Cricetulus griseus: one gene and its partner. The protein of the gene in region 2 binds, or shares a complex with, the protein of the main gene of each other region. Links are inferred from orthologs where the notes say so. Each region holds a gene or a part of one and is shown on either strand. Other genes may lie near its edges.

Evidence for each region. The genes of interacting proteins can lie anywhere in the genome.
Region 1: Lamtor1 (region 2) and Lamtor2 share a complex: the UniProt entries of both Homo sapiens proteins name them as parts of the ragulator complex. The link is inferred for Cricetulus griseus from reciprocal best matches to the Homo sapiens genes LAMTOR1 and LAMTOR2.

Annotation. Positions count from the first base shown.
Region 1 is NW_023276806.1:65,955,185-65,959,788, forward strand, and holds Lamtor2 (ragulator complex protein LAMTOR2), read left to right. Parts: upstream 1-1,560; 5' UTR 1,561-1,653; coding exon 1,654-1,721; intron 1,722-2,022; coding exon 2,023-2,185; intron 2,186-3,999; coding exon 4,000-4,089; intron 4,090-4,330; coding exon 4,331-4,387; 3' UTR 4,388-4,527; downstream 4,528-4,604. Other genes in the region: Ubqln4 (ubiquilin-4), read right to left, coding at 600-707. UniProt on the Homo sapiens protein: As part of the Ragulator complex it is involved in amino acid sensing and activation of mTORC1, a signaling complex promoting cell growth in response to growth factors, energy levels, and amino acids.
Region 2 is NC_048596.1:97,476,214-97,480,856, reverse strand, and holds the start of Lamtor1 (ragulator complex protein LAMTOR1), read left to right. Parts: upstream 1-1,740; 5' UTR 1,741-1,856; coding exon 1,857-1,898; intron 1,899-4,643. UniProt on the Homo sapiens protein: Key component of the Ragulator complex, a multiprotein complex involved in amino acid sensing and activation of mTORC1, a signaling complex promoting cell growth in response to growth factors, energy levels, and amino acids.

The DNA of each region.
Region 1 (4,604 bases), on a different chromosome or scaffold from region 2:
CCAGATGGCCTATCCTAAGCCCCGCCTATTTGCAATTCTGGAGCAGCTTCAAGCAGTGGGGAACACAGGCAATCGTCCCTCGCTCATTCAACATTATTTTGTTGAGCACCTACGGAGCTCAATAAATCCTTTAGAGCAGAAAACTGAACAACACAACCGTTTCGATGTGCGAGCAGGAAGGATCTGTACGGAGAGAGAGTACCCTCACCACGCGACTCTCCCGGGGGAGCTTAGCCACAGCTCACTCGGGCCACACTGTGCCTCGGCGCCTGGAACCTCCACCAGTAACGGTGGCGCACTCTACCCTCAAGCCGAGGACCCTCGGGGCGCCCGCATGCCAGGTGCCTCTTTCTCAAGCTCCCCCACCACGCCCCCAGCCCTGGTAGCGTGGCCAAACCCGTCGCACCACGCTCGCCGGACTAGCCCAGGCAGGGCGCCCCCTACCCGCCTCGTCTGCCCTCGCGCAGCTCGGATCCCCGTGGGCTCCGCCCCGGCCGGGGGCCCGTCCCGCAGCCAGGCCGTCCCCGAGGTCTCCATCTCAGCGCTGACCCCGCGGTGCGCCGCTCCCGCCCTCCTCCCTCCAGCGCCAGCGGTACTACCTCCTTGACCGAGGCTCGATCGCAGATCACGATCTCCTCCTTGTCCTTGGGGGTCTTGACGGTGACCCGAATCTGGGGCCTCGTCTCGGCCCCGCTCGGCTCCGCCATGCCGCCACCCGGCCGCCCGCCAGCCCGCCCGGCTCCTCTCCCGGCCCGCCCGGCCCGGCTCGACTCCGGCGCCTCCAACTCCCCCTCCCGCCCCTCCCCAAGGCTCCGCCGCCCCCTCCGGACAGCCGCAGCCACAGCGCCCCGGGCGGCCCGGGGGGGCACTGCAGCTGGGGCGGCCCAGGACCGAGCGGGGTTCGCAGCTGGTCAGGGCAAGCTTCTCCGGAGCCCAGAGGGCGGCGTAGCGGGCGCCGAGCCTCGGCGATGCCCGCGGCTCCCCCCCGATCGGGACAAAGGACTTTCTGTGTCGCCGCCTCATCTCTGTTCCCTGGGGTAACTGGGTTTTCTTAGGAGGCGGAATCTCTGCCAGGCCTGGGGTCGTTCCTGGATCTGGACGCCCTTAACACCTCTGCAGGCATAGCTATGGCCCGAGGGGGCCATCGAGGACATCCAGAGACCTGGAGTTTGCCTACGTGGCTTCTCTGAGCCTTGGGTGTCAAGACTGCAGTACCGCACAGAATTGTGACCATCGTGCAATACTGATTTGAAAAATGGCCAAGGGTGTGCCTAGCAAACACAGATCTTTATTATTATTGAATCGCGGGCTGACTAGTAGGCACGAGGGCGCCCTTTTCGTACAAGGGGTTAAAAGTCCTTCCAACGTCGCCTCTGTCCTTGCACTCCCGCTCTCCACCCCCCCTCCCCGCCTCATGGTCTGGCGAGGAAGCCAAACTATAGTTCCCAGAATTCCTTGAGCGGTCACAAGAAACTATAATTCCCAGCTACCCCCCGCGCGGGGCGGGGATTGGGCCAGAGACTCAGTGGGTAGGCCCGGAGACTACAACTCCCAGGGCGCCTCGCAGGTAGGCTTCTGGGCCACCGGAAGCGGCTGGCGAGCTGCGGCCGGCGGTGACGGGGTGTGTGCCGGTCAGGGTTAGGAGACGCAGGCATGCTGCGTCCCAAGGCTTTGACGCAGGTGCTAAGCCAAGCCAACACCGGGGGAGTCCAAAGCACCCTGTGAGTGCACAACAAGGACCCGAGCGGCGAGCGCTGGAGTGGGGCGGCGCGCGGCTGCCTGCAGCAGGGGTAGGGAAGTAGCCCTCCACCGGGAGGAGGCTGGTCGTATGAGCGGCCGTTTCGGGAACCCTACGTAGGGCTCCCCTCGGAAAGGGAAGTCGACGAGTGCGTAGGGCATGTTCCAGGATATATTCCTAGCAGATCCTGGCTTCCTAAAAGCGCCAGTAGCGGGAACTGGAATAGGAACCCAGGCGTTTCACTCTTGCTGAGTTTGTCGATAATCCTTCTCCATCCTCGCCAGGCTGCTGAATAACGAGGGATCCTTGCTGGCCTACTCCGGTTATGGGGACACAGATGCCCGGGTCACCGCGGCCATCGCCAGTAACATCTGGGCTGCCTACGACCGGAACGGGAACCAAGCATTTAATGAAGACAATCTCAAATTTATCCTCATGGACTGCATGGTATGGAGTAAAGTAGGCTGACCTCGAACTGCAGTGATCATCTTTCCTCAGTCTCCCGAATACTAAGATTGCAAGTGTGCACCCCTGTACCTTGCCAAATAAGTAATACGTAGATATTAAAGAAGGAAGAAAGAAAAAGTGAGAGTAGGGTTCAGATAGATGAAAGGGTGACATTTCCTAAAAGATTGGAGGAAGATTGGAGAGGGAAGGGAATCAGCCATGCAGCGATCTGTTGGAAAAATATTTTTGACAGTATGGGACATGGTTTATGCCTCTAGTCCCAGCACTTGAGAGACTGAGGCAGGCAGGTGGATCTCTGCAAGTATTTCCGACAGAAAAGCAATTGCAAAGGCCTTAGGGTAGAGTGATGCTTGGACAAATGGATACTCCATCAGTAAGGATGGTGTACCACAGAATGAGGAGATAGAGCTAAAGAGGCATGCCTGGTTCCTAGCACCCTGGACAGTGATGGCATGCAGATCCGAAGCAGTTCACCTAAGGGCAAATGCCCCTCAGAAAGCTCTTCGTTGTTATTCAGGCAGCCCTTTACACCACTCCTAACCATTGCTGACTCCTGCTGGGGGCTGAATCTAGAGCTAAAGCTCCAAAGACATTCACTACAGCCCTGCCATAATAAGAGTATTTTAAAGAACTTAGGATGGAGCTCAGTAGTGGAGCTCTTTGGGGTCCTAGATCCATTCTCAGACAATTTTTGTTTTTGAGTCAAAGCCTAATATACACATTGATACACACACCTAAAACAAGTTTCAGGAAACATCACTTTTCTTGCTGCAATGTGAAGTCTGTCTTTTTTTTTTTTTTTTTTTTTTGGTTTTTCGAGACAGGGTTTCTCTGTGGCTTTGGAGCTGTCCTGGAACTAGCTCTTGTAGACCAGGCTGGTCTCGAACTCACAGAGATCCACCTGCCTCTGCCTCCCGAGTGCTGGGACTAAAGGCGTGCGCCACCACCGCCTGGCAAGAGGGTTTTTTTTAAAAATAAGTATTTATTATGTATACAGTGTTCTCTCTGCATGTATCCCTGAAGGACAGAAGAGGGCACCAGATCTCATTACAGGTGGTTGTGAGACACCATGTAGTTGCTGGGAGTTCACCTTTGGAAGACCAGGCAGTGCTCTTACCACTGAGCCATCTCTCCAGCCCTGTATGAGAGGTTTTTTGTTTTTTTTGTTTTTTTTGTTTTTTTTTTTCTTCTCTTTTTTTAATTAATTTTTATTTTATGTTCATTGGTGTTGGGGTCCCCAGGAACTGGAGTTAGTTACAGATAGCTGTGAGCTGTCATGTGGGTACTGGGAATTGAACCAGGGTCCTCTGGAAGAGCAGTCAGTGCCCTTAACCGCTGAGCCATTTTCCCAGCACCCCTTTATGAGAGTTTTTCCCAGGTGTTATATATGTGTACCATGTGCATGCATGGTACCCCCAAGGAGGCTAAAAGAAGGCTTTGGATCCCCTGAACTGGATGCACAATATAGGTGTTGGGAATTGAATCCAAGTCCTCTGCAAGAGCAACAAACAAATTGGGTTATTGTTCCTGGTACCTCACTTGTTGAGACAATTCTTGGCATTAGAGAAGAAAACCCATTTCTGGGAGACTTGGTTTCCCAGAATAACTTGATTAGGAATTGCCTGTGCTGAGGCAGTGTCAGGCCCTTATGTATTAAGAGCTGGGCAAAGCTTCCTAGATGAGTTTCCCGCCCAGCCAGGCTTGAAGACAATATCTCTAGGATCAGAGGAGCCCTGGGGAAGGTAGGAACTAAGGATGCCAAGCAGAATGCCTCAATGTATCATCCCCACTAGGAGGGCCGTGTAGCCATTACTCGGGTGGCCAACCTTCTGCTATGTATGTATGCCAAGGAGACTGTAGGCTTCGGAATGCTGAAGGCCAAAGTGAGTACATTCCTATGTTACAACCTTCCTGGGCCCAGCCATAGTCCCTCTTCACTGTGTCCATTCCCTACATGTACCCCTTTCTGAAATTCTCATATCTAGTCCGTGTCTGAAATGGGCTGAAGAGCAGTGGGGGTGGGCTGGGGTCTGGTTGATGCTCATTGTGGGGCAGGGAGCCAATTTGGGATACCTCTAAGCATAGGCCATGCATGGACTGACATGTGCTTTTCCCTCCTTGCAGGCCCAGGCCTTGGTGCAGTACCTGGAGGAGCCCCTCACCCAAGTAGCAGCATCATAATAGAGTGATGGAAGCTGGAGTCAGAGGACGGATGGTGGATGGGAGGATCAGGGCCCTAGAGACACCTTACTGGACTGGTTACAGGAAGGTGGGACTCTGGCTTTAGCTTTTTTACAAATAAATTTCAACTCTTGCCTTGTGTCTAACTGCTTTCTTGGATGGAAGAACTCAGGCCATGGGAAGGAGTGAGTAAATTATTTAAGGGATTCATCCTCTG
Region 2 (4,643 bases):
AGAAACTTAGCAGAACTCTAGGGTCTTGATTTGAAGAATTAATGTCACTAGATTTGGTGACTACTCCAACCCCTTGAGATCAGAATATGGGTCAAGACACAAGCCAAAATAAGTGGGACTCATTTGCTCAGTTCAAAATCCAAGTTTTTCTGTAAGTAAATGTTAGGGCATAGGTCACAGAGAAGAGTTATACTCTGTCCCTGTCTTCCAGTGGCTCACATTTGGTAGAAGAGATGAAGTCAGCAACTCAATACAATAGAATACGATGTGATCATGAGACTAGGGATTCCACTGCTATGGCGACTTTGAGCTGTTTTCTGATTAGCTACCTATCCAAATTGAACACTGGAGTGGTATACTGTAGATAGTAAATATTTGTTGTTTCTTTTTTTAAAAAAGTATTTATATATTTCTACAGTGTTCTGCCTGCACATCGGAAGAGGGCACCAGATCTCATTATAGATGGTTGTGAGTCCCATGTGGTTGCTGGGAATTGAACTCAGGACCTCTGGAAGAGCAGCCAGTGCTCTTAACCTATGAGCCATCTGTCCAGCCCTTGAAGTTTATTTTTAATATATATGTATTCATGTTTTTGGTCTGCTTGTGTGTCTGTGCACCGTGTATGTGTCTGCATCGTTTATCCTGGAACTGGAGTTATAGATGATTGTGAGCCACCATATGGGTGCTGGGAATTGAACTGGGGTCCTCTGAAGGAGCAGCAGCCAATGCTCCAAATAACCGAGTCATCTCTGGCCTCAACATTTGCTAATTTAATTAAGTGAAGAGATTGAGGGGATCGGAATAGGATCAGAAAAGGCAAACAGGAAGATAAAGTTTGTATTTGGACTTTGAAGACTGTAATCTCTGATTTGGAGGGACGAGTGTGTGCCATCTGCCTGCGAAGGCAGAATTCACCTTAATCAAGAAACTGCCAAATAAGGAACTTACAGAAATGGCTCAGTGGCTACAAGCCGGCTGCCAGAAAGCCTGACAACTTGACTTCAATCCCTACGAACCATATAGTGGAAGGAGACAACCAACTTCCACAAGTTGTTCTGTGACCTCCACATGTGCACCATGACACACGAGTTCACACTCATATGCGTACTCAAAATAAATAAAAATGTAGTTTTGCCAGGCATAGTGAAATACGCCTTGAATCCTAGCACTTGGAAGGCAGAGGCAAGTGGCTCTCTAAATTCGAGGCTAGCCTGGTCTACACAGCGAATTTCAGGCCAGCCAGGTTACATAGTGAGACCTTTCTCGGTCTCTCGGGGACACACACACACACACACACACACAAACAGCACACACACACACACACACACACACACACACACACACACACACACACACACACACACACACACACACACACACACACACACACACACACACACACACACACACACACACACACACACACGCAAATAGCTCCCGAAGTGAAGCACATCCCACTCAACTCCACCATGCTACTCGCCCCTCGCGAGACACTGAAGAATTTATCTTGATAGATCTTGGGTTCACAAAGGTGGCCTTGACACCATGTGATCACACTTTGGCTAGAGGATCAAAGGATTCAGATCTAGAGACTGGGACAACAAAATCATGTGACTCGTCTCCCGGATCACGTGCCACGCGTCCTGTCACGTAGGTCGGGCTTTTCCATTGGTTGGCGATGGTCACGCGGAGGGGCGGGACCGGAAGCCGAGATTTGGCTGTGGGGCCAGAGAGGCTTTGGGACAGGCTAGGCGGGGGAAGGGAGCGGGAGGCCGCCGCGGGTCATGTGACCGGAAAGACTCCTGACGGACGCCGTCCCTCCTCGGCGCCGCCTGAGCGCCCGGCCCGACCCCGCCATGGGGTGCTGCTATAGCAGCGAAAACGAGGACTCGGACCAGGTGCGGCCGCGGCAGGCGGGGTTTGGGACTGTGGGCTACGACCGCGGGACCCGGGGCCCAGAAAAAGCCCGCAGCGGCTGGGAGCTGGATTGCAGGCTCACCGAGTACGGAGGCCTGGAGGGGACAGATTACGGAGAGGACGCCAAGCCGTGTTCCTACCCTCTTAAAGATCCTAGTCTTACTCCAGCCTGGGGTTACGCTGGCCGCCGCCTCACTCGGCCCCTCCCCTTCCATTTTTCCAGTACCCTCGTACTTTCACAGCTTGACTCTTCAGACTGGGTGCCTGGGAAGCAATCGCTTTCCTAGATTCCTTTGCCTTCACTGCTGATTGTATAAGTGTACTTTACGAACCCATTCTAGAGATAGGTAATTTGAGGCTCTTAGTCTCCCAAGGTAAATCAGAAATTTGTGTATATTCTGTTACTGGTGTTAGAGGTGTAATGTCACTACTGGCCTGGTGTCGGAGGCCTCTGGAAGTTGGTGGCATTTGAATTGGGCAGTGAAGAATTTGAGTGAGGACATCAGAACTTTAGGGGAGCAATAGAGTTTAGCTTTGACCGATATGGAGGAAAGAGGGTATAGGAAGCTCATTTTGGTTTGGTTTGCTGTTCCCTGACTGTGCCTGAAGGTTCCTCTAACTAGAGTGCATCCTGAAAAATGTGACTGTAGAGTTATTCCTTTCGAGAAAACATTTCCTTGGAGAGACTTACAGTGTTTTGCATTTTAAATTTTCCAACTTCTCCTTGGTGCATTCTTATTGCTTTCCACACCACATCCCCTACCCTCCCTGACCACTTTTGAGGAGGGGAAACTTGCAAGGCTGGGTCCCAGGCCACTGGCCATACCTCAAAGCCTAAGTTCTGCTTTCTACACACAGTAGGCACTGAGCCACAAAGAACAGTTTCACCCAGCCTAGTGAATACAGTCAGGGAAATAAATAGTATCACTGTACCTGGAAAGTTGTTCTTTCCCTATGAAGGTACTTTGGGTTAAGAACTGCAGTTCAGGAAAATGTGATTTGTATGGCAGGCTGAGTGGTTCCTGATTCTCAAAAACATTATTTGACCTGAGTTTGACATGCCTTGTGGCAAGAATCTTTCCCTTCATTCTGGCCTGCTAAAAGAAAGAACAGCAAAAAATAGGAAGTCACCACAAAACATCAAAAAAATAAAAATAAAAAGGAGAGGGCATTATTCCTGCCTAATGACAGAGTTGAATCGGAATGGAACTAGTGTCTCTTACAGCATGTGGTCTAGTATGGGAAAAGGATACCTACTTCCAGGAGGGAGAGCTCGCCTTGCTTCTCTCCTGAAATTCCTCCTTCTCCTTGATTCTTATTTCTTGCCGAAACAGGGTCTTATGTAGCCCAGATTGGCAAACTTGCTATGTAATTAATGACCTTGAACTTCTGAGTTTCCTGCTTCTGCCTGAGTGCTGGGATCACAGGCATTATCTATGTGTCATCTATGTCTAGTGTATGTAGTAGTGGAAATCAAAGCCAGAACTTTATGCTTGCTGGGCATGTACTGTACTAATAGGGTCATAGCCCCAGCCTCCTCTTTAAGTAGGCCCTCCTATTTTCACTATTGTCTGTCCTTTTATTATAAAAAGCCAGCCATCCCTGTTGGCTTACATTTATAATCACAACAGTTTATGAAAGCTGAAGTGGAGAACTGCTTCCAAGTTTGTGGCCAGTCTGGCTACATAGTGAATTTGGGGCCAGTTCTGAGGTGTACAATGAGCCTGTGTTTCAAAGAAAAAGAGAAATTTACAAACATGGTTTTCAGAGGGTTTTTACATTTACCTGTTATAAATTAACATATGTTTAAAGCTGAGGAAAAAGTTCAGAGGATCTAAGATTTGGCAAACATTAGAAGTGCTCTAGCCAAGTTGTTTCCAAGCACAAGACATATGCTTTATGTACTGGGAGAAGCTCCGATGTAGTCAGTTGTGGGTCTGTGCTAAAGTAGATAAATCTTGACTCAGGTTGTATTGGCTTGGGAAGCAAACTTTCTCTTAAATTATTTATTTATTTATTTATTTATTTATTTATTTTGAGACAAGGTTTCTCTGTGGCTTTGGAGGCTGTCCTGGAACTAGTTCTTGTAGACCAGGCTGGTCTCAAACTCACAGAGATCCACCTGCCTCTGCCTCCCGAGTGCTGGGATTAAAGGTGTATGCCACCACTGCCCGGCAAATAATTTATTTTTTATGTGCATTGGTGTTTTGCCTGCATGTCTGTGTGAGGGTGTCAGATCCCCTGGAACTGGAGTTACAGACAGTTGTTGAGCTGCCATGTGGGTACTGAGAATTGAACGCAGACCCTTTGTAAGAGCAGCTGGTGGTGCTCTTAAACTGCTGAGCCATCTCTCCAGTCCCAGAGGCAAACTTTGATATGACAGACTTACCCCATGTACTACTCATTGTTTGGGTATCAGGTGATGTCATTAACTTTTTTTGCTGGCAGGTGTCTATGTAGCCTTGACTGGCCTGGAACTTGCTATGTAGACCAGGCTGGTTTTAATTCAGAGATCTTTTTTGCCTTCTGAGTTCTGAGATTAAAGATGCGCACCACTACTCTTGCCTCAGTTTGTCTGCTATTTGGAGTTGCTTGGCCTTTCAGGAAATTCGTAAGACAACCTTGTTCTTGAACCCCTGATTGGGGTCCTGCAGGAAGATAGGAATGGGGCTGGGAAAAGCAGGCATAGAAAGCATTGTGGGTCTCATTGTGAGCCAGCTTTTCTT